Linked DNA regions of Tamandua tetradactyla. Each later gene encodes a partner of the first gene's protein in a complex. Links are inferred from orthologs where the notes say so. Each region holds a gene or a part of one and is shown in the gene's direction. Other genes may lie near its edges. The genes, in order: BRME1 and HSF2BP.

What was found.
Region 2: the proteins of BRME1 (region 1) and HSF2BP are in contact, whole or in part, in a crystal structure (PDB 7Z8Z), measured with the Mus musculus proteins. The link is inferred for Tamandua tetradactyla from reciprocal best matches to the Homo sapiens genes BRME1 and HSF2BP. Residues at the interface, in NP_083321.2 of Mus musculus: Met541, Gln542, Asp543, Ala544, Thr545, Val548, Arg549, Leu551, Val552, Leu555, Ser556, Asn559, Ile562, Met563, Thr565, His566, Leu569, Lys573; in NP_083178.1 of Mus musculus: Glu23, Phe24, Val25, Lys26, Val27, Arg28, Asp31, Leu32, Arg34, Leu35, Glu38, Val39, Gln41, Ile42, Phe45, Leu46, Arg48, Ile49, Glu53, Leu54.

Annotation. Positions count from the first base shown.
Region 1 is NC_135337.1:88,885,370-88,898,034, forward strand, and holds the start of BRME1 (break repair meiotic recombinase recruitment factor 1), read left to right. Parts: upstream 1-7,427; 5' UTR 7,428-7,466; intron 7,467-7,472; exon of another isoform or gene 7,473-7,647; intron 7,648-7,752; 5' UTR 7,753-7,812; intron 7,813-8,321; 5' UTR 8,322-8,342; coding exon 8,343-8,373; intron 8,374-8,831; coding exon 8,832-8,867; intron 8,868-12,665. Other genes in the region: CC2D1A (coiled-coil and C2 domain-containing protein 1A), read right to left, coding at 239-311, 400-530, 633-707, 845-917, 1,188-1,312, 3,905-4,142, 4,245-4,379, 4,633-4,698 and 3 more. UniProt on the Homo sapiens protein: Meiotic recombination factor component of recombination bridges involved in meiotic double-strand break repair.
Region 2 is NC_135336.1:101,249,770-101,261,792, reverse strand, and holds the start of HSF2BP (heat shock factor 2-binding protein), read left to right. Parts: upstream 1-6,080; 5' UTR 6,081-6,237; exon of another isoform or gene 6,238-6,366; intron 6,367-7,041; 5' UTR 7,042-7,235; coding exon 7,236-7,271; intron 7,272-7,616; exon of another isoform or gene 7,617-7,775; intron 7,776-8,075; coding exon 8,076-8,226; intron 8,227-12,023. Other genes in the region: RRP1B (ribosomal RNA processing protein 1 homolog B), read right to left, coding at 5,784-5,913. UniProt on the Homo sapiens protein: Meiotic recombination factor component of recombination bridges involved in meiotic double-strand break repair.

The DNA of each region.
Region 1 (12,665 bases):
TCGAAGAAGAAGAAAGGGACAGTGGTGGCCTCTCTAGACTTAAACCCCAGTTTTTAGTGTCAGCCAATTTCCACGATGTAAACACTCCTATATGACATTTCACGCTACCAGCGGTTTCAGCAAACTTGTGAAATTCCTGCATCAGTAGCAATTAGCTCCCTACGCCTGCAGGATGTGAAGGAACAGCACCTGCGAGGGCTCAGAGGCTAGAGGGGTAGGGGTCAGGGGCAGGGCCTACCTGGGGGCACAGGCAGCTCAGTCACGTCCACAGCTCGGCCGGCCTTGTGGGCTCGGATGGCGTCTTGGTATTGCTGCAAGGGGACGCAGGCATTGAGACTGGCTGGGCGAGGTCTCGGGGGCCACCCCCCAAACCTTCCCTACCCAGGGGCCCCCACACACCTTGACAATGCGCTCGTGCATGCGAGCCTTCCGCTGGTCCCCTTTGGTCTTGGCCTGCGCAGCAGCCACATGGTACCTCTCCATTCGCTGCTCCAGTGCCTCCAGAAGGTTCCGTGGGGGTGGGGGCACCTCTAGGCCGGGTGCGGAGGGGGAAGGGTTAATAGTCTAGGGGACGGGAAGACAGTTTTGTCCCAGCCTGAGCCCCACCCCCGCAGAGGGTCCCAGGAGCTCACCTGGTGCAGAGGGCGCTGTGGTGGGGGTTGGAGGCTGGGGAGGCAATGGAGAGGGTGGGTCTGCGGGCAGCTGGTCTGGGGACAAAGAGGGCTTGCTTGGGTCCCTCCACACCAGGCTGGGCTGGCCTGGGAGGGTCCCCAGGCCTGATCATGGGGATGGCAGCACCCAGAAGAACTTCCTGGAGGATGGGTGGAGGTTGGGGGACCCTCACCAGGAGGGGGTGGCACACGGGACAGGTCCACAGGATCCCCCCTGCTCAAGGCCTCCAAAATGGCATCTAAGCTCTGGGAGAAGAAAGGAGACGATTAGGGGAGGAGACTGCTTGGGGAACCCCCCCACATCCTGCCATTCGAAAGAAGAGTCCCTTCCTTTATACCATCATTGCTTACGCCCATTTCACAGAGGGGATAAACTGAATTCCCAAGGGGAATAGCAAAACCAGAGCTGGGAAGTGACCCAGCTGGGGTTCAAACTTGGGCCTGCCTCTGTTTGCAAGGATTATCAGGACCCTCCATCCCCATCCTCTCCCTCCAACCCTGTCAGTCTGAGCGCACCTTGGCCACCCGGAAGTGCCTGGTGGCAGTGGCAGTGTCCCCCTGCTGCTTGGCATGGAGGGCGGCCAGCTTGTACTCGCGCTGCCGGCTCTGCAACTGGGCCAGGGTACTGGGGCTGCCGGTACCTAGATGGGGCGCAATGCATGGGGGGCTGCCAGGGCTGGGCCGACTTCTCTGTACAAACCACTGATATTTTATCCTTACAACAAGGACCGTTCTTAGTCCCATTTTATAGGTGAGACAACTGAGGCTCAGAGAGGGGATGCTATTTCCCAAGGTCACACAGCCTGGAAGTGGAAGGGCTGGGACTGAACTTCAGGCCCAGCACGCTCCAGAACCATTCCTATTCCCCAAGAGAATTCTGGAAAACTTTATGTAGCCTTATGCGTTGTTATGTTAATGTCTGAAATTTTTTATCTTTTAAATATAAAGTGCAGCAAAAGTCTCACATATGTTGACATTCGGGAAATAAAACTGTTCCCGCACTCTTAAAAATCTAATGGGCCTTAACACTTATGGAGATTTGAAATTCACAAACATTCGTTTTTAAACTATATCCATGGGCTCATATTTAGCAGGGAATTTCACAGCTTTTTCTCCTTGAACTCTTATTTCCATCCATGTCCTAATGCAATATATTTATATTCTTGAGTCTTTTTTTGTCCACCCTCTCATACATTTGTGTAGCGAAAATACATTTATGCAGTGTGGCTACAAAGTTGGGAAACATAGATTAACTGATTTTTAAACAGTATGTTAGTTATGTTTTCAAATAATATGCTCAATATGTTTTTTGGGGGGAAATTTCCCTACAATCAAAGCCAAACGGTACAATTGTGGATATATAAAAAAAGTGCAATAATTATACCAATGCGTGTCCACAAAACCTGCAAACGCCAGGAAAACAAGGTAAACATTATACTTTTTCAGATTAACAACTGGGCCCCGTGATTTAAATTTAGACATGCTTCTCCTGAAAAGGCATTTAGCAGTTGAAGAAAACCTTGACACTTCACTGGTGGCACTGTCTGTGACTGTAAGTCTCTCAGTGCTAAAAAAAAAAAAAAAAAATTCACACAGATACTTGTAGATGCTAATCCACAATCACCAAAAGGTGGAAACAACTTGTGTGTCTATTGACAGATGAATGGAAAAAGCAAATATGGTCCATCCACACTGCAGAATATTATTCAGCCATAAAAAGGAATGAAGTTCTAATCCACACTATAAGATGGGTGAACCTCGAAAGCATTATCCTAGGTGAGAGGAGCTAGACACAAAAGGACAAATATTCTGAGTCCACGTACACGAAATACATAGAATAAACAAATTCATTGAGACGGAGAGTAGATTAGAGGTTACCAAGGGCTGGTGGTGGGGGGCAAAGGGGAAGGGGAGGTTGTTGCTTAATGGGTAAAATTTTCTGTTTGGGGGGGATGAAAAAGTTTTGATAACATGACGGTGATGATAGCACAACATCGCGAGTGTAGTTAGCACCACTGAAGTGCATACTCAGAAATATTTAAAATGGCAAATTTTATGTGATGCATATGTCACCACAAGAAAGTTAAAAAAAAATTGTTTTTTCTCCTTGGTTGAATTATTGTTACAATTATTACCAGCATGTAAATGGGATCAGAACCCAAATCCATCAGGCTTTTCGCCAAATAATTTTTATGCAATGGTAAAATTTTCCTGGAACAGCACCTCTTGCTGTCATTTTGGGGCGGGGTCCTCTTCCTACCAATTAATCCACATTTCCCCATTCATTCTTTCCCTACTTTTCTTTGGTCTTTTTTGAATGTACTGAGAAAACAGCTCATACCAACAAGTGTATGGAACTGGGTAGAGTCTCATTACCGTAACAGCACGTGATTCTTTGAACTCCAGCCAAACGATATGCCACAGACCCCACTGTGAAAAGTCTGCGGTGATTTTAGCGGAGAATTTCAGGGGATGGGATTCTGAGAAGCCACCTTGAACTTTGCCAAAAACAACAGCTCTGAAGCCAGCCCAGCTGGAGGAGAGTTTTGTCACCCAAGTTAACTCTGTCCCCAACCTGGGAGAAGATTTCAGAAGGGAGGCAGGCCTTCCATTCCTTTAAAATGGGAGGTGGGGGACTGGGAAAGAAAACCTTTCAGGAGGTGTATTCTCCAGGAGCTGAGCTTCAGGGTAGAAGACAGAGAAGCTGAGGGCTTAGGAATTCTTCATTTAAAACTCTGTGCGAAAGATGTTATTGGGATATGTGATACAATTGGTGTATAGACAGTAAACTTTACATCAACGTTAAATTTCTTGAATTTGACAACTGCATTAAAGGGGTTCCATAAGTGAATATCCTTGTTCTTAGAAACTGTACATGGCAATATTATGTGTTCAGGGATCATGATAAATAGACAGACGATGGATATATGGATGGATGGACAGACAGACCGACAGGCAGACAGCTAGCTTGCTAAAATGATGTGGCAAACTGTTAGAAATTGGTGGATCTGAGACTCTAGGTGAAGAGTGGGTTGGAGTTCTTGGTTTTGGTTTTGTATTATTTTCCAATTGTCCTGCAAGTTTGAAATTATTTCCAAATAAACACTTTTAAAAAACAAACAAACTCTCTGCATGCCTCTAAGCCCCTTGGAAAGCCTTCTTCAACTTCAGGGGCCCGGAGACCCAGGAGGTGTTCAAAATATTTCACAATCCATCCATGCCCCCAGACCTACCTGGGAGCAGCTGGGGCTTAGCCGGGGCACCCGGGAACGAGGCCGGGACTGTGGAAGGAGGTCCCGTCATGGTCACCCTAGGCTCTGGGCCTGGTGGGTTTGTCGAGACTGGCTGGGTGGGCGCAGGGGTGGGGGCAGGCATGACCGTTGGACCCTTCCCCACAGCCACAGGTGGTGGGATGTCCTCTTCGTTGATGGTACTGCCCCTTCGGACGGAGGCCAGCAGGTTTTCAAGAGTCTGGAAGGAAGCATGAGCATGGGGGTTTCAGAAAAGCTGGAGCTGGGCTGCCCACCGGGGGTGGTGGTCGGGTCCCCGGCACCCACCTCCCCACTTCCTTACCTTGAGTCCCCGGTCGTAGCGCCGCATCTTTGTGCCATCCCCAGCTTGCCTAGCGCTTTCTATCGCAGTCTGGTAGAGGGCCAGCCTCTCCTGCAGGGTGGCTTCCACCCCTGGGCAGGGAGCTGGGGGCTTTGGCTGCAGGAATGAAGGGGATCCAGGCTGGAATGGGGACTCCACTCCATGTGGCCCTCGTGGTGGGCCCAATGCCCATGTGGGATTTTGGTCCCTGTGCCACTTCCCCTACCTCAGCAGTGGAGTAGTCACAACCCTGTTTCCTGGTGGAGGGGACTGAGGTCCCATGGCCAGGGTGGGGGGACAAGGGTGAGCCCTGAACCTCAGGCTATCTGTAGGACTCTGGTTCAAGGGAGCAGGGTCAACGGACAGGTACCTGAGCCAAAGGTGGCTGGGACTCCAGAACCTTCTGTTCTTCTCCAAGAACCTCAGTGAGTTCCGCCTGGAGGGACACACGGTCAGGGAAGCAGATGCGCTGGTGTGGGGGGCACAGGGAAAAGGAGCCCCTACCCGCCTCAGCTTGCCCTGGCCCCTCACCAGCAGCTCATCATCAGCTTCCACATCGTCCTCATCTGTCTCTTCTTCCTCCTCATCCAGGTCTTGCATGCACAGGCCGGCCATTTTCTCAATGGTTTCCATGGGCAGTGGCCCTGGTGGTAGGGGGAGGCTGAGGCTGGACCCAGGATCCGCTCCCTGCACTGCCAACCTCTTGGGCTTCATCTCTTACTCATAAAACCTCAGTTTGGGGGCCAGGTGACCCGAGTGCAAAACCTGCTCGGCAGCATCCGGGCTGTGTGAGCTTGCGCAAGTGGTTTCACTTGTCTGGGCCTCCGTTTCCCCATTCATTAGATGGGGTCGTAACCATCCTTCTCTCCCAGGTATCTTTTGGGAACTAAAGGCAAATAAGCTCTTAGAACGGTGAGTGGTAATATTGTCAGCATTTTCTATTAGCGAAAGAGTTTAAAGGCTCTGTGTGTCCTCTGGGCTCTAACCCCAAGTAATGGCAGCAGCATCCCCAGAATTCCCGGCCCCCGGCCTTGGCCATGACCCCTCCTAACCATCCCGATTGTGGGTCCCTACCTGGGAATCTGGCCCCGACTTGGAGGTCTTGCCAGGCCCTGCATGAAATGCTTTCCCAACACTTGGGAGCTAAGCATTGTGAAATGTGGTTACCGTCCCCATTTTACATACAGCAAAACCGAGGCCCACACTGGTGTCGTGACTCGTCAGGTCACACAGCCAGTAAGCGGTAGAGCTGGAAGGTGAACCCTGAGTCTGGGTCCTGTGTTGTCACATTAACCTCTTACCCAGACCACCGGCTCTAGGAGGGCAGGGGTCTTCTCTGGTCTTCCTTCCCCCCATCTCCCCGGTACCGGGCTCCAAGTCCAACACACAGCAGGAGCTCAGAAAACACTCAGGGGGTGTGCATGCGTGTGTTAGTGTGGAAAATGCAAGCACTCACCTTTGCCCTTGAGCTTCTCCAGGCCTGGAGGCTGGCCCCCCACCAAGGCCAAAAACTCGGCCTCCAATTCCTTATCATTAACTTCATCTTCGGGAATCATCAAGCCCTCTGGGGAGAAGTCGACCAGCAGGCCCAGCTGTGGGAACAGCGAGGGGCCTGTCAGTTCTTGCGAAGGACCCCATTTTTCCAGAGGCAGCCAAGACGAGCCCACAGTCCCCATGTGACCCATGATACCCTACAAGCCAAGATCAATGGGACAAGCAGGCCCTACCCGCTGCCCAGAGCAGAACCACTCTGCATGCCAGGGGGCTTTTCCTTCTAGAATCTTCAGAACAGGGGGTTGGAAGGTCTGAGGCATCAATGGTAATTAGAAGCCTTCGGGACAACATTGAAGTCAAAAGTAGGGGCTGTGCTGGGAAACAAACTTGCTTTTCTATCCTGGTTAGTAACGAGTTGTGACATGATAATATCAGAACTATACGAACCTGCCCCTTCTATGTAGGTCAAAATGGTGGACAATCAGCAGCGGTGTAAAAGCACCACGTATTAGTGACAACGGTAATGTCTGTTCAGTGCTATGTTCTAGCACTTTCCAGAAGTTATCTCAAGGAAACTTGGTGTTACTAGGATGCTTAGGATCTCTCTTTTACAGATGAGGTAACTGAGGCACAAAGCTGTGAAGGCACGTGTCCAATGTGCAGGTGCGGGAGGGAAATTTTAGGCCTACCAGACTAAGGCCTGGTCACTGAACCATGCCCTGGGCTCCCTCCATCAAAGCTGAGAAAAGCTGAACGCCTGGGTGCTGGGTGTCTGGGGTACAGGAGCTAAGGGAGGGGAGAGGTTCAGCCACAGTCCTGGGGAGCTCGAGGAAAGCAGCTTTCCATTTGTATTTCTGGTCAAGCAGTTAATCCCTATGACCTTGGGCAGGTGTCTTCATCTCTATTTTGTCACCTGGTCAGAGATCAGGACTGGTGAGATTTTATGACTGTGCAGATGGGGAACTCTGGGCCTGGCCTTAGCGACCTAGAGCTGCTGCGGCAACAGGTGGCCCCGAGCCCGGAACGAGACGGCAGGAGCTGGGGGGGCCGGGCCCTGGAGGCCGCACTGTGAAAGGCCAGGGGTGAGCGGCCTCCCCTGGTGGGGGCGGGGGGGCCGGGGACCGGGTCTCACCTGGAGGGCGGGGATCAGCGCCCCTGGTGGGTGGGGCCCCCCCCAAGCGTGTGATAGGGGTAGGGAAGGTGCATCGGGCGGGACCGAGGGGGCACTAACTCACCTGGCGGGCGGCGGCGGCGCCTCGGCCCGGAGGTCCTGGGGGTCCCTTCCTCTTGTGCATCGTCTAGGCTGGATCCCCAGACCACCGGCGCCGGCTCCCGGCCTTGCCCTGCCTCCTCACCGCCCCCCCCACGCGCCGGGGCCTGTTCCCGCGCACGCGCTCTTCACGGGAGACGCGGGTCCCCTCTCTCAGCGCCCCGCGCCCTCGCTCTCGCCCCCCGGGGTGACCGCCCCACTTCCGCCTCGGCCCTTGGGAAGCCGTCACCGCAAGGGAGCGCGGCCACTAAACTCGCCAGGTCCGCCGCCCGAACTACAACTCCCGACAGACAGCGCGCAGGAGCGCATGCGCAGAGCGGGAAGGCGGGTGAAATCGTGGGTGGCGCGGGGAAAGAGGCGGAACGTGAGGGTGGGGGCTGTGTCGCGCATGCGCATTGCCTGCCTTGGCGCTGCGCGGGAAAGAGGCGGAGCGTGTGCAGGTGTGAGAGGCGGTGGCGGCTGCGCGGTTGTCGGCTTCCCTTCGCCACCTGCGGGCGCCGGTCCCACCTGGGTGGCCGGGCCTGAGGAGTCCTCATGTTTCAGGGTCCGGTGTAGGGTTAATGCGGGTCTAGTGGCCGAAAAACGGGGTTCCACAGCGCCAGGCCTCAGGCCTCCCGTCCCGTCAGTCCTCGACCTCCATTCCTTCAACTCCTTACAAGCATTAGTTTTGTCTTTTTTTCTCAAAATAATTTAATGCACATAATTTGACTGATTTTACCCTAACAGATCCAGGAAGCGCTAGTTGCTGCCAAGTTCAGAGGGACCTCCACAATTTCTCTGGCCTAGGTGGGTTTTGGCTAACCGGGACTCGAGGCTGAAAGAAATGGGTCCGTGGGTCACTGCTGCTCCTCCAAGGGCCCAAGCCTTCCCTAAAGACATCTAAGAGCCCCCTTAAAAGTCCCAGGTGTTCAAGTAAAGGGACCCCCGGTGGCTCCTGGAATGGCTCTAGGTACCCCAGCAGGAACTCAGGGCTCGGCACAGGCTGTTGCAGCCCGGGGAACTAGAGGAGGGTTTCCCACAGAGGACCACCTATGCCCACATGCTGCCCAGACTCACCTGGGTCAGTGGACATAAGGTGGGCAGTCCCACTGCAACGTGGAGGTTTTTACCTGGCGTTTGGCTAAGGTGGCAGATCTTGTGCCATGGACAAAGACTGTGACCCCCACCTTGTATCCTATTGGGTCCCATGAACCCCTTGGGGCAGCTGGACAGCCCAGTGGGGTGGGGCTGGTATCTGCTCTTGGAACCACTGACTCAGATTGTTATAATGGAAGGTCTTTGCTTGTTGTCTTCAGGTTTCTCAAGGGAAAGCTGAGATGAGTAAAAGGAAGAAGCTTCGAACCTCAGGTATTTGTCCAGGTTGACACTGCTTTTTTGCTGCTTCTGCATATAGGGGGGATATGCAGAAATGCAAATGGGACCACTCCAGGTTCCTTAAAAGAAAAATGACTTAATACATGCTAATAGGAAAAAGATACAGATTTTGAAGGAGTATGTAAAATGAAATGTGACAGCTTTTTGGAGTCTGTAGGCTTTGGGGGAGGGGTACAGCAGTCTTGGAACCTAGTGCCAGAGATGTCCCCCAAATTAGAGCTTGATGGGCTAAAATGCAAGCCAGTCCATTTTGTGGCCAGTTGCTTCACTCGGGAACCACACACACTGGTTTCATAAACCTGGCTCACTCACTTTGTGATGGAGAATGAGTTCCTCTGTGCCTTGGGGAAAAATACTGTGGCAAAATAGGCATAACATTTCCTTTCCTATAAATCAGGTATAGTAAGCGCACCTACCCTTTCTGTTTATAGCAGAAGAAAATCTCATCTCCAAGGATTTAGCCAAAGGTGAGTATAGTGAGACTTTACTAGTTGCTTCCGCAGCATTTATGCTTCTGCCAAACCAGTTGTCCCCACATCTACCACAAGCCAGAGCAGAAACTGTTTGCTTTAAGAAACCGCATATCCCCTGTCCCTTGGCCATAGCAATCAGTGGCAGCAGTGATTCTCGGCCAGGGCAGTTTTGTCCCCCCAGAGGACAGTCAGCAATGTCTGGAGATATTTTTGGTCATCGCTGCTGGTGGGGGGAAGGTGCTGCTGGCGTCAAGGCCAGGGATGCTGCCAACAGCCTATAACTATAGCACAGGATGGCCCCTACCCCAAAGAATGATCCGGCTGCAGATGCCAAGAGTGCTGAGGCTCAGAAACCCTGCCATAGAGCTGTTGTGCAGATTAAATGAGTGCGTATTTTAAAGCACTGAGAACAGACCACAGGTAGTACCTAAATATGTGCTATTAATATGTCTTGCCTGACTTTTTTCTTACTGTCACAAAATAGATATAATGTAAAATTTGCCATTTTAGAAGCCATTTTTTTCTTCAGTTTTTTTCTTTTTAAATTTTTAAAAAATATGTAACAAATACAAACATTCTTTTTTTTACAAACATTCTTAATATATGATCATTCTGTTCTACATATGTAGTTAATAATTCACAATATTATCACATAGTTGCATATTCATCATCATGATCATTTCTTAGAACATTTGCATCAATTCAGAAAAAGAAATAAAAAGACAACAGAAAAAAATTCATCCATACTATACCCCTTACCCCTCCCTTTCACTGATCACTAGCATTTCAATCTAAATTTATTTTAACATTTGTTCCTCCTATTATTTATTTTTATTCCATTTGTTTTACTTGTCTGTTGATAAAGTAGATAAAAGGAGCATCAGACACAAGGTTTTCACAATCACAACAGTCACATTGTGAAAGCTATATCATTATACAATCATTTTAAGACACATGGCTACTGGAACACACCTCTGCATTTTCAGGCAGTTCCCTCCAGCCTCTCCATTACATCTTGACTAACAAGGTGATATCTGTTTAATGTGTAAGAATAACCTCCAGGATAACCTGTGGAATCTCTCAGCCATTGACACTTTATTTTGTCTCGTTTCACTCTTCCCCCTTTTGGTCGAGAAGGTTTTCTCAATCCCTTGATGCTGAGCCCCAGCTTATGCTAGGATTTCTGCCCCACGTTGGCAGAAAGGTCCACACCCCTGGGAGTCATGTCCCATGTAGACAGGGGGACGGTGGTGAGTTTGCTTGTTGTGTTGGCTGAAGAGAGAGAGGCCACATCTGAGCAACAAAAGAGGTTTTCTTGGGGTTGACTCTTAGGGCTAATTTTAAGTAGGCTTAGCCTATCTTTTGTGGGGTTAAATTTCATATGAACAAACCCCAAGACTGGGGACTCGGCCTGTTGCTTTAGTTGTCCCCATTGTTAGAAACCATTTTTAAGTGTACAATTCAATAATGTTAATTAATTACATCACAGTGTTGCACAACCATCACACCTATATGTGTCCCAAAGTTTTTCGTCATCCAAAACAGAATCTCTGCACCCATTGAGCAAAAACTCCCCATTTCCCCTCCCCCCACCCACGCCCTGGTAACTTCTGATTTCCTTCCTGTCTCTATGAATTTATGTATTCTAGGTCTGTCAGAGAAGTGGAGTTGTACATTCTTTGTCCTTTTGTGTCTGGCTTATTTCACCCAACATGATATCTTCAAGGTGCATTTGTATTGTAGCATGTGTCAGAGCTTCATTCCTTTTTATGGTTGAATAATAATCTGTTATACAAATATAACACATGTTGTTAATTTTTCAGTGGCCACTTGGGTTATTTCTACCTTTTGACTATCATGAATAATGCTGCTATGAACTTCTGTGTACAAATATCTGTCTGAGTACCTGGTTTCAATCCTTTGGGGTATATACGTAGGAGGGGGATTCCCAGGTCATCTCGTCATTCTGTGTTTAACTTTTTGAGGACCTGCCAGATTGTTTTCCATAGGAGCCACACCGTTTTACATTCCCACCTACTGTGTACTAGGGTTCCAATTCAGATATTTAAAAAACTTATCTTAAAATAATTTTAGACTTACAGAAAAATTACAAAAATAGTTCAGAGAGTTCTGTCTACCTTCCCCCAACTTTCCCTAATCATAATATCTAGTGCAGTTGCAGTAGAACAGACACACACACAAAGGTGATGAAAAAGTTTGGGTAATGGATATTGGTGAAGGTAATACAATTTTGTGAATGTAATTAGTATTGCTGACTTGTACACTTGAAAGTGGTTAAAATGGGAAATTTTGAGTTGTATGTATCTTACTACAATAAGAATTTTTTTTAAAGAGAAAAAAAAAGGAGATTAATCTCAGTATAATACTTCTCCAGGCTTTTTCTGTGTATTTGTACAAGTTTACAGTGGTTGTAAATGCACAGTAGAATCATCATGCAAACTGGTCTACAACTTCAGTTCTTCGCTTAACACAGCGCAGTGTGACTGTCTTTCTTTGTGTGTGTATGTATATAGATAAAATATATGTGATTCTGGAGCAGCTAGAAGGAAAAATATCTGAGATGATGGAATGGTAGCCCATGGCAAACTCTGGGATCTGTCCTGTAACTGCTTATTGAAGAGTGCTTTGAAAACTATTGCTTTTTTCTTGCTTGCTTTATATATATGTTATATTATACATTAAAAATATATCTATATCTATCTATATATCTATATAAATTAATTCATAAATAAATATATATATATATAGAGAGAATTTCTTCATTAGGCAAAAACAACAACAAACACCTAACATTACATGGATTCTATTTCCCTGTCATTTTTTAAAGTAATTTAAACTTCTCAAAAATTTAGAAATGACTCCTGCACTTAGAAACAAATTTAGGAGGAGAGCTTGTTTTTCTCAAGATATAATATAGAAAAAAAAATTATCAACATATTGAAAACGGTTTGTGCAAACAGATGAACAACAGCCTGCTTAGAGGTTCAAGGATTTCTCTGACCCTGGAGGGGAAGCTGGGGACAGCAGGCCACCCAGGCAGGTTATTTGGGGCCTCCCTTGGCAGCAGACTCCCCAGCTCAGTGGACGCCTGTGCTGGCCCACAACATCTGTTCTTGTGTGTTCCTGGAAGGGATGAAGAAGAAGAAAGAAGATTCTGGCAGATGGTGAAAGAGGTCATTTCCTGCCCACTGTCCTTGGCCTTTGGTGTTGAACCCAGGGTTCTGTCTTGAAAACCACTTTCTCTTAAACTGGTCCTGAGGGGATGGGTCACAGGAAGGAAATGGGAGGCTCTTCACGTCTGTTGATATTTTTTTCTTTTTATCTGGTACAAATGTCCATTGGCGCAACAAAGAGAGCTAGTGTTTATAAAGCTTAAGAAGCCAAATAAACGAAGCTGCTATAGTGTGCCCTTTCCAGCAAGCTGCAAGGTGAGGATGTGTTTGTGTAAGAAACATTCGGCAGAGCTTTTTTGGGGGTGCAGCTCTTGGGGAGACGCCTGGTGGAGGGAAGCAGGGGGAGGGTGAGAGAAAGGATGTGGCAGACTCAGACTCAGTTCCTGCCCTCGAGACCCCTCGTGGTCTACTTGAGGTGGGGGAGAAAATGCTCCTCTTCGAGAGCTCCTCAGGTACACAGCAATGGGATACAGTTCTAAATGGGAACATGTGAACCGTAACTGACAGAAGAAATGGGAGGAAAGTTGCTATGCCCTCATGAAGTACGAACATCTGAGTTAAAACTGAGGCAAAACTAACGGCGTTGGAGGTGCTCGTT
Region 2 (12,023 bases), on another chromosome or scaffold:
TGAGGTTCTTTCTTATGTGGGAAGGCACAGGGCGATCTCTGCTGGCCTTCTCTTCAGGCCTCTGGGTTCCAACAAGTTTCCCCGGGGTGATTCCTTTCTGCATCTCCAAAGGCCTGGGCTGAGCTGTGAGTGCTGAGATGAGGTATGTGAGCTGCTTGGGCTGTGCTACGTTGAGCTCTCTTATTTAAGCACCAGCCAAATAAGTCAAACGTCATTCTCTGCAGCAGACACGCCTCCTAGCCAACTGCAGATGTAATGAGCAACAGATGAGGTTCACATGCCATTGGCTCATGTCCACAGCAATAGGACTAGGCACCTTCACCTGGCCAAGTTGATACCTGAATCTAACTACCACATGTTCACCCCTTGTCAACTTGGCAACTATACACATCACCTTAAATGATATTAAGGTGCCAAAATTTCTCTTCTGGCTGTGGACCTATGAATCTCAAAACAAGTTATTTTGGTGCCAATATGCAAAGGAGGGATAGTCACAGGATACATTTTCATTTCCATAGGGAGAAATTGGAAGGAACACAGATGTCACAAGACCCAAATAGTTCTGAAAACCTGCAAGGCTAACTCCACTGAATTTCAAAGTCTAAAAGTCATTTATCCTTCGGCTTAGAAAGTGGCAGGCTCACCCTTTCCAAGGGCCTATGCAGCGGGCTGCCTCTTTCTGAATCAACCTCAGGGAACATTGAGAAGACCATCTTTTTCTTGGCTCCACACTCTACGAGTACTGGGGCCACATCTGGGCTCTCTGCCAATTCCAAGGGCACATACTCAACCCCTCCACATGGTGGCAGCTAGGCTCTCCCGAGTCCCCAAGGAGCGTGCTGCACTTTCTCCAAGGCCTGAGGGTGCACGACTCTTCCACTGCAATGAGGTGGGAGACTCATCCTTGCCTTTCAGGGCAAACTCACCCTCTCCATGTACATGGGTGGGTCCACTCTCATGGCCTGAGGTTTCTTGGCTTCAGATCTGAACTTCCATGGTTCTCACTCTGCAAACTCCAATTCGTCCCTTTTGTGTTCCCCTTTGTCCAGATTGGCAGTGATTCCGTTTACACCAACAGTCTCTTCAAGCACTCCAGGATGTCTCCATCATTTTCCTCATAGTTCCTCCAAAATCTTCCCCTTTTCCATTCAAAAAAACGGATCCAATGTGACTGGTATTTGCAAACTGCAGCAGAACCCCACTTCTCTGGTACCAAATCTACCAAAGCTGCCAGAATGCAACATACCAGAGATGGACTGGCTTTTAATAAAAGGGGATTTATTTAGTTAAAAATGTAAGTTCTTCAGAGGAAAGGCAGCTAACTTTCAACTGAAGTTCTTTCTTACACGGGAAGAAAGGCACAGGGTGATCTCTGCTGGCCTTCTCTCCAGGCCTCTGTGTTCCAACAACTTTTTCTGCATCTCCAAAGGCCTGGGCTGAGCTGCGAGTGCTGAGATGGGGTATGCTGAGCTGCTTGGGATGTGCTATGTTGAGTCTCTCATTTAAGCACCAGCCAGTTAAATCAAACATCATTCACTGCAGCAGGCATGCCTCCTAGCCAACTGCAGATGTAATCAGCGACAGAGCCACATGCCGTCAGCCCATGCCCACAGCAACAGAACTAGGCAACTTCATCTGCCCAAGTTGACATCTGAACCTAACTACCACAAGGGGCCACCACTAGGTTTTTGTAACAGAAAATTACTGATTTTGAAAAAGTAGCAAAGTGACACTAGATCCTAAACAATGGGCCGGAAAGGGGGTTGGCCCTGAAGGTTTCCTCAGTGGAAACAAGCCTGTGGTCAGGCTGTTTACTAGCTGTGCAGTCTTAGAAAGCAATTAGCTAACCTCTGGGCCTCAATTTCCGCAAGTACAACATACGTAATGGATATGGGCAGGGTCAAAATTAAGAGCATGCATGAGAAGCACTGTGTATGAGTAAAGCACTGTTCAATTGGTGGATATAATAATTGTTTCAGTTTCTCTTCCCATATTCTATTGAAGCTTTTTTTTTTCCTTTTAAAAACAGTTGCTTTCAATATATGTATAAAAGTCATTTGCTTTTCCCCAGGAATTTAGTCAGTAAAAATAAGGTACCAATTTTTGAAGCATTTAAAGCAAAACAGAGAACTGCTGCTACTGCTTCAATTCTAATGTGGAGATAATAAATACCAATAAGCTTTTATGAAGAAACCCAACAGCTACTCTCACCACAAAACGAGCACAGGGGCAATTTTAAATGGGGTGAAGTGCTACATGCTAACATGGCCCTCTGTCAAAACACCCACGACTCCTCCTATAACTATTGGTCAGGGATAATCCTAACCCTAGTGGTATGACAAAACACTTATTCCCACATTGTCTCCTCCACTGAACCCAAGACATCACTGCCTATAAGATGCACTGTATTTTATGGGTCGACAAAAGAAAAAAATGATGCAAAAGAAACCATCACAGGGTAGACTGTAAGATGCATCCAAATTTTAGAGCTGTTACATGTAAAAAAGTGTTGCAGAATCAATAAAGTAGGGACAGGAAGCTTTGTTTGCTTTGTTCAATGCTGCGTACCTGGTGCCAGAACAGTACGCCTAACAGTGCGTAGTAGGTGCTCCAAAGTATTTGCTGAATACATGAATGACTAAACCTGGACAAATGAGCCTTTATGAACTAGAACCACGGATATAATTGTGGGGGATTGAATCCTGTCTCCATGAAAGGCATGCTTAGGTCTCAACTGCTGTTCCCGTAGGTGTGTAAACCCATTTGTAAATAGGACTTTTGGAGGTATTATTAGTTAGATGAGACCAAACCGAATGAGGGTGTTAATCCAACATGCCTAAAGTCCTTACAAGCAACGGCAATTGGACACAGAAAGAGCAGCCATGGGGAGGAGCCAGAAGCTGTAAGCCCACAGGACCCAGAACAGAAAGGAGATGTTGCCATGTGCACTGCCATGTAAATGAAAAGCCAAGGACCAAGAATCACTGACAGCCAGTCCCAGAATGCCAGTCTTCAGGGAAAAAGCATCGCCTTGCTCGTGCTTTGATTTTGGACTTCTTGTAGGCGCAAAGCCATAAGCCAACAAATCCCTGTTGTTGAAATCAACCCATTGTATGGTATTTATTTTAGCAGCTAGGAAACTATTCACTAAACAATGATTATTCCTTTATTGTAAATGCTCAGCACAAACAGTTAAAGCACTAGGGCAATGTGTGGTTGCTTTAAGCAGTACAGGGATTCCTAATTTACTTTCTGAAATCACAAAGCTATCTATTTTTGCTGCTGATAAACAGCTACATGTACTAGTATAAGCGAAATTTCAGATTTTCTTTACCTTGCCTAGGACAAGATGCAAAAAATGCGAGTCTGTCTATGAGATTCAAATATCAGGTCAATTTATTTTTAAACTTGTGTCTCTATTTTGATGGAGGGGAACTGTGGCACTTTTTTTTTCCTGCCCCGTTATCACTGTGCCTACGATATTCACTTTGCAGAGTTTTTTTGAGGGCCCACTATACACCCTGCAGTATAGATTAGGGGGCAGAACAAGAGGTATACCACAAGTAATTCTAGCTGTGATGGGTACTAAGCCAGGACCCTGGGGCAATGGTAAACCGACTAGCCTCATACCCTGCATCATTTTAGCATCTTGCAGACCCTGGGCTTGCTGACCAAAGGCCTGTTTGTGCAACAGGGTTTGTCTGGTCCATTTCAGACCCATTCTAGGGTGCAATACGGACAGCATGCCAGGTCCTCGTACAGCTGGGTGTGATCTGACTTTCAGCTAAGGAAACAGTGGAAGGTCACGGTGTTTTGGAGGAAGAATGACACGCTGAGAGATAGTTAAAAGGCAATGTAGCTAAGTGCCACAACAGAGACCATACACAATACACTGGGTATTTTAGAATCATAAAGGAGTAGGGGTGTTAGGAAAGGCTTTTTGGAGGAAGTGATACTGAACTGAGTGCCAAATGCAGAAAGGGGGTGAGCTTTCTGCTGTGTTAAAAAAAGGCAAAGAGGTGAGAAATGGTGTGTCACATATGAGGAACCAAGAATAGATTGTTGTTGATAGAACATGAAGTGGTCAAGGTGTAGCTAGAAGGGACCCTGAATTTCGAGGGTACTACAGGGATCAGATTTGTTTTAAGATTACCCTGGTGGGCTATGGTGGCTCAGCAGGCAGAGTTCTTGCCTGCCAAACTGGTGACTGCCCATGCAAAATAAATAAATAAATAAATAAAAAGATTACCCTGAACTGGTTAGTGGAGATGGATTCAATGGGGATGCAGAGGGACATAAATAAGTACGCAAAGACTCCAGGTAAGATAAAGTGGGCCTGTGGTCAGGGTGGTCATTTAGGAGGTGAAACAAGTAGGACCAAGGGACATTCAATGTAGGCTGGGGGGAGAGGATGAGTAAAAGTGAGGAGTCTGAGTCGATGGTGGAGAACTAGCAACCAAAATAAAATAACGCAGGCAGACAAGGGAGAGCTGCAACAACAGAAAATAACAGGTTTTGGAGGGAATAAAATGAGTCAGTTTGGGGCACTCTGAGTCTTAGGTGACTGTTGGAAATCCAGGCAGAGATGTCAGGCTAGTGGGGGTTATCTGAGCTGCAAGTAGGGAAGGTATGGGCTAGAAATTTAGGTTTTGTAACCTCAGGTGTATATAGGATAGCTGAAACCGTAAGAGAAGCTAAGAGAACTGAAGTTAAGAATTTGGTCTTCTTTCCCCTTTCTGTTTATCAGAACTAAAATTCGATTCAATTTTTCCTGAGTAGTCTTCTGTGTTTCTCTTCAAAATAAAAGAAACTAAGAACGTGGTGAAGAGATAGATAATAGCTACTCTTTCAAGCAGATGTTAAAGGCATTAACGTTAGCAGTGATTAAATCAAACTTTATCTTACTATAGCATATTGCACCATGTGCACACCTATATGTTCACTCAAGAACAAGTTCATACACTCTGAGCTCACTCAAGGGTTTACAGGCACATGTTCTATATCTGGTAAATGAAATCCTTCGCTGGCACTCTACTACAGCTAAAATCCAAACTACAAAGCCCTATGCGATCTGCCCTCTGCCTGTGTTTCCAACTTCATTTCAAGACACCCCAGCCTCCTCATTTACAGGTCTAGGGCATGCTAAGTTCTCTCCTGCTTTTCTGCAGGGCTGTCTTCCTCTTGCCTCTGGACCTCACTTGAACATCACCCCAGCGAGGCCCCGAAAACAGCCAATGAAGAAGAGTTGCTTCTCTCCTTTTTTCTCGCTGTTAAGTGATTTTCATTTTCCTCACTACACTTATATAAGCTCTATTGTATTTGTCACCTTCTCTAGCTTTTTTCCTAGGAGTTCTTTGAGGGGAGCTATTCTGTCTGTCTCCTCTCTTGTATTTCCAGCACCTAAACATGTTGACCAAACGCTGGCATGAATCAATCAACGAAGAGCACGCCGAAATAAAAGCGGGTGAATGTAATGACTGAAAGTGCAGGCGTGGGAATGGGAATCAGACGGACCCGGGTTTCATCTCAGCCTCCCCGTTTACTGAATGTGACTTTCAGTAAATCAGTGACCCACTTCCGGCCTGTCTGCTCAGCGGTAACATCAACATAGGACTGGATACAGTAAAAAGGCGGTTACATGGATTGGACACATGGACGCCCACGAAAGAAGTCACGAATCCCTGCTCGAAGCCCCTTTCCCTGCTGGGCTCGGCGTGTCCCCGGCCCTCCCGGCCGCCGCGGCCGGCTCCGGCCCGCCATGTGGCTGAGCGCCGGGGGCCCACCTGTCTTCCTCTGCGTCTTCACGCTGATGTACTGGCGCAGCTTCTTCACCGCCCGCTCCCGGATCCACTTCTCGTTGGACGCCAGCCGCTGCGCGAACTGGATCTCGGCGGGCTGCATCGCAGGGACCATGGCGCCAGCCGGAGCATCCCGGGCAGTCCAGCCCGCGGTCGCTCAGCCTCACGCCGCGGTCGCCGCCAAGCCGGGCCCGCGCCGCGCCTGCGCAGGAGGCGGCGTCAGCGTCAGCGGGCTGATAGCGTCACAAAGGCGCCGGCGGCCTCGTAGGGGGCGTTCCGAAGCCCGCGCTGCTTTGGTCAGGGCCTCCGGCGCGAACCGCCCCTCCTGGGTGCGCCGCGCCGTCGCATCTTCGCGCCTTCGCCGCCTTTCGGTCGCCAAAATTCAGGACCGTTGGCGGCGCGGTAGCCAAGGCTGCGTCTTCGTCAGGAAGAGACGGATGTCAGTTTTCAGTTTCTGGACTCCTTAGGTCCACTTAGCCAACCCCCCACACGCTCAGCACACGACCTACGGGGCACCGTGCAGCCGAGCTCCTAAGTGTAGGGCCTCCGCGCGCGACACTAGGGAGAGGTGAGGGGGGGCACGGCGGCCCGCACTGGGGGTGTCGGCACCAAGCCCGTCCGGGGCAGCCCTTGGAGGACCCTGAGGGCGGGCAGGCCGGTCTGTCGTCCAGCAGTACCGCGGCTACCCGGCCCGAGCAGTGCCCGCACGCCTGTTCTCCCTGCTCGCAAAGGCAGGAATTTCGGGTTTTGTGCAAACGTCTCGACTTGATTCCTGCTCCAGCCAGCCTGGGAAAACGTCCACAGTTAAACGGGACTGTGAACAATGCCTTCTGGCTAGCCTAAGCGAGGGGAGAAAGGGGAATGGTCCTAACCCCGGGAACCTTTCAAAACCACAGGCCAGCTCAAATTTTGCGAGTCCAGGGTGCGCACTGGGGCAGGTCAACGGACGAGGCTATTTGTCCAATTTGACGGTTTTCATCTTTGTTATTTCATTTACTTAGCTGGCTGCAGAACTTCCTATGGTGTGCAGCCCTCCCGAAGGGTCCTAAAGGTGAAACCTTTAATAGGAAAGGGTTGGAGTAGAGCGGGAGGTGCGCAGTTTGCTGCGGTGAGGTTTCCCGGGAAGCAGGCTGCGGGCAGGCAGTTGCCCCTTGATAGCCTTCCGCACTCTGCAGGAAAGGACCGGCTCACTTTAGGTGACTTGATATTTACACCAAAGTCTCACTTTCCTTTTACTCTGCAGTTAGCAACTTCATAGCCCGGGCTAAGCCGGAGAAGCTCACTCCTCTCACTCCTCTCAAATGCGGCGCAGAAGCCACGACATTTGAACCTCACGGCTGTCCGTACCGAGCATCGGCCGCGGCCGCGTTCCCGCGTTTTCCGCGGAAGGCGGCAGACGGCGCCGCGCAGGCGCACTGCGGGGAGGTCGGCGCGGCCATGGGCGAGGCGAGCGGCTCGGAGGAGGCCTGCCGGGTCAGTGACGAGGCCGGGGACCTCTACGGCGCTCGGGAGCCGCTCCGTGGTCGGGGAGGCCTCGGGCCTTCTCCACGGACAGCGGGGGCCGGGCGGGTGCGGGCGGGAACGTGGTGTGGCTGCCGTGAGGTCGAGGTGATGTCTGCCGCTGCTGCGGTGGGGCGGGTGTGGGGAGTTGGAGGGAGCGCGAGAGGCAGAGAGGGTGAGGTGAATGGCCCTCGCAGCGTCTGAAAACCCAGTTTCCATCGGACCAGGACTTGGACGCTGGTTGAAACATGACAGAGTGCTTCCTCCTGTGATGTAGGAGGACGTGCTTGGAGTTTGGATGTCGGGGCTCTGTAAATGCTGGCTTTGACCCCTCGGGTCCCCAGTGTCCCACGCTGGGGAGTCACCTGGCCTTCCATGCCTCGGTGTTCTGCTCTGGAAAGTCCTGAAGGGTTTCACTGAGTATTAAATACGGTGTCCAGCAGAGGGCTTGACAGGTCTAGTAGGAATCCAGCAGAAGTATTTCCCATTTTCTCTTGATTAACCTAGTGCCAAAATGTTACTAGAAAGTTACTGGCATTTTCTTTGGCTTTTAGGAGTAGGACTCTTGTCCTACCCCTCTCTCATATCTGGTTCTCACTTTGAAGATCAGGGCTTCTACCTTCAGCATGTAATATAGCAGAAGGCATATTATAAAGATAAATTTCTGGAACAGTAGCACCAGAGGTATTAAAGAGAAGGAAGTAAGCTGAAGTGGGCCACTAGTTTTAGTCATTTGAAGAGAAATGGTATGATCATAAGATCTGCTTGTTCTTTTAGCACGTGGAAACTAAAGAAGAATTCGTTAAAGTCAGGAAGAAGGACCTGGAACGTCTAACAACTGAAGTGATGCAAATACGGGACTTCTTACCCAGAATACTAAATGGGGAGGTACTGGAAAGCTTCCAGAAATTAAAGATTGTAGAAAAAAGTGAGTCTTTTCTATCTTTAACGATCACCATTGACTCCAACAATGTTTCAGCAGATACAGCGTCCCTCGTTAGAAAGTAATGATACATAATTTTTGAGATACTGTTATAGGTTATATAATTAAATTGGGGATTCAGATAAGACATAAAAAGGGCAGGTGGCCTCGAATGAATTACTTGGACATGGGTGAGTTGGTGTGAGGGTGGCCAGCTCTCTGGAGTATCTCTTACTAGCTTCTCATTCTCTTCCATGGTGGGAGAATTTTATACTTTTGATTATTAAAGAGGTCTGCTCTGAAGATTAAGTCCACGTTTGGGTTAGTGAAGGATCTTGTCATGGTGGAAAGCTTGCCTGGAGCTGAATGTGTCTGCAGAGGTGGCTGAATGTGTGTTCACTTCCCTAGGTTCTTTAGGTTGACAGATGGGTTTGTTTCTAGCACTGCTTTCATTTCAGGTTTGGTGGGACTTATTCATCAGACTTTGGAGATCTGAGCTGAGCCATTGTATCAGACACCAGTGCAGGGGCTGGTTCAGATGCCTGGAGGTCCTCTGGATGGATTCAGCACTTGCCTCATTAAGCTGCATTACCATGAAGTCTGTCTTCAGTGATTAAGGCTAATTGGCCAGACTGTATTTGACAGCCATCGCTGTGAGGCCTTAGAAAGGTACATCCAGGAGGCTGAGGTAGTGTTGCTAGCACTAGTCCAGACAGGAAGTTACGCAGGAAAGTTCTTGGGTCCAGACTCAAGAACGTAAGTTTCTGGTTTGTGTAACTATCTGGTCAATGGGGCAGTCATATCCAGTTAGAAGAGAGACTGTTCACAGTTTCTGTAGTCATGCCCTGTTTATATTCTCTTTGAAGTCCTGGGATCCTTTCTCTCCTTCTCTGCACTGAGGTGTTCTGTGGCTCCCTTACTGCCTGCCAGAGGGCCAGCCAGTGAAACCTATCAGTGAGAGGAGAGAGTGGTGGGGGCATCTCCTCCCCCACACCCTCCCTGCATTGCTGCTCTCCTCTGGCATAGTTTCATCCCTCCTCATCTGTGTCTACCACTCAGTGACCTCCTCTCTTGTCCCAACTCTCGCTGGCCTCCAGGACTGTTTTCTCCCCTTGCTCCTTCAGTTGTGGGGCTGTTTTTACCATCCCTTCTTGGGACTTTTATCTGCTCTCCCTCAGTAAGTTTTTTCATTAAAGTCCCTTGATATCTGGGACTTTAATCTTTCTTTTTTTCTTTGATTTCTCCTTCATGCTGGCACCCTGACTGATGTGCTCTGTCTCACTGGTTTCCACAGCTCCAAGTCCTTGGCTTCTCAGCTGCCTTTGTGCTGTTGCCATGCTTACCACATCAACCATCCGAGCATACCTCTTCAATCCATGTTTGTCTTTGGGAAAGGAAACTGCTGGCCAGTGAGCAGAGTATATCGGCCTGCCGGTTGGTTATATTTCTTACTGTAAATCAATACATTGATATTCTGAAAAATATGTGAGGGTCTCATGTTGGTTATGATGAGTCAGTTTATTGGAGATCAGTCCTTTCCCACGTCAAATTGTGATGCTTGTGAAAGTGAGAACCACAAAGCAATCTCTGGTAACCTGTTCATAGTTAGCTGAGGAGACCTTGGCCGGCTGCCCAACCTGCCCCTCCATGGTGTCACCTCTTTCCCACTGGTGCACTTCCTGGCCATTCCTTCTCAGTTCCATTGCTGGTTTACCCTTCACTTCTTAGCACCCTTTAGGTGGGGAGTTGAGGCGGGGCCCCTGTGCTTGCCTATGTGTGTAGCACAGAGCAGGCCTCTTTGCTAAATATTTGGTCCTGGAGGACACCATACTTTCTTTGTACTCTCTTGGTTTTATGTCATTCCCATATGGTAACTTCCCATTGCTTCTCATCTGGAATTTAAAAATGTCTATTCTGTAATTATTCTGTCCTCTACAAACAGCTCACATTGACAGTCCGCAGTCTGTCACACCCTAATCCTTGTTCCACAGATCAAGCAAAAACTGAGGTTATCAATCCCCAATCAGGTTTTCCTCACTCCCATTTGCAGCTTGCATGCATGCCATCACCCTAGTCTAAAACATCTTCTCTTTTGTTTTTTTAATGAACCATGCATCTCTCTTTGATGTTCATTTATTCCCTAATGAATATTGGGCAATATCCTCATTGGTACTACTCCAAATTCTATCACCTATCTTGCCTAAGTTTCCCAAAAGTAATTATTTGTGCTAGAGTCAGATCAAGCCCCAGTTACTCCCTGGTATTTATTATATCAACTGAAATTTTCTGGCTATCTTATAAGTTACTTGATAGCTGGAGCCCATCCAGGCCAGCCAAATAGATGGACATCAACACTCTAAAATAAACTTCTCAAATCTGGTCTGGACCTGGCACACACCAACCTCAAGAAGCAAAAGCAGTTTTGATACTGGTCAAATCCAAGAAGCGTACTGGCCACAGGGCTGAGGAAGTGTAGAAAACTCATCGTGCCGAACGTCTCTTGCTGCCACATGTGAGCTGTGGATTCTTTCTGTGGAATACCCATTCTCAGAGCATGGCTCCTGGGGTGGTCTAGAAAGACAGGCTCCTAAAAGGCCCAGGGAGGGCTGTCAAGTCTAGGTCTAATAGAAGGAAAAAGAGGGAAATGTTTGTTTTCCTCGTTTTTTTATCTGAGTCACCAATGTGGTAAACCCACAAGAGCCAAAATTAGGGGAAAGGGGCCACAGGAAGCCTTGTTTTGGGCCAGAAAAACAAGTGTGATTCAAGACTCAAGCCAACTACAAAGTTCGCAGAGAAACGTCCTTCAACCACCCCGGTGCCCTTTAATCCCTCCTTTCGCTTACCAACAAGTTTCCTGTAGCACGTGTTAGCTCAATGAACTAACTGCAAATACAACATCTCAATACATTTCCTGGTCTGTAACATGCGGACAGTATTGCTGAACTCCTAGGATGTGGCAAGGTTTAAAATGAGATAGTATTTGTAAAGCATTTGGCTCAAGACCTGGCTCATGGTGAGTTCTCAGTAAATAGTACCTTCTCAGATGGCAGGATAAACCACTTGAACAAATAATGAAAGAAATACTCAAATTTAGCTTTGATTCTGGCTCATACTCAAATTTAGCTTTGATTCTGGCTCAAACTGTCATTTTGTGGGAAGGGTGTGGGGGTTTGAAGGAAGAGTTGAATTCTGGTTCTTCCCTTTTTTTTTAATCCATGTAATCCTCAGTTTCTGTTTTGTTTTTTTCTTTTTCCTATGAAATGGGGATAGCTCTAGTGTACTCAGGCTTACCTGGGATATTGTTGGTGAAGCAGGGCCTGTTGGTGCTCAGTGAAAGCTAGGCTCCCTCTTGATTTCCTCTCATCCTCTTTTTTTTTTTTTTAAATAACTTTTAAAAATCCTTTTATTGTTATAGCACATATGCAACACAAAATTTCCCATATCAGCCACTTTCAAGTATGCAATTCAGTGACATTTGTCACATTCACAATGTTGTGCCACGATCACCATCAAACATTACCAAAACTTTTCCATTACCACAAGCAGAAACTCTGTACCCAGTCAGCATTAACTCCCTATTCTCCACCTCTACCCTATCCCTGGCTCTACCTTCTCTGTCTTTGAATTTGCATGCTCTTGTTAGTTCATTTAAGTGATATCATTCAGTATTTGTCCTTTAGTGTCTATCTTTTCTTTTTCCACTCCTAGCACCTTGTAACCTCTAATCTACTTTCTTTTTTTATTAATTTATTAATTTTTTTTAAAGATATAACAACAAAGAAACATTCTTAACTTATGATCAT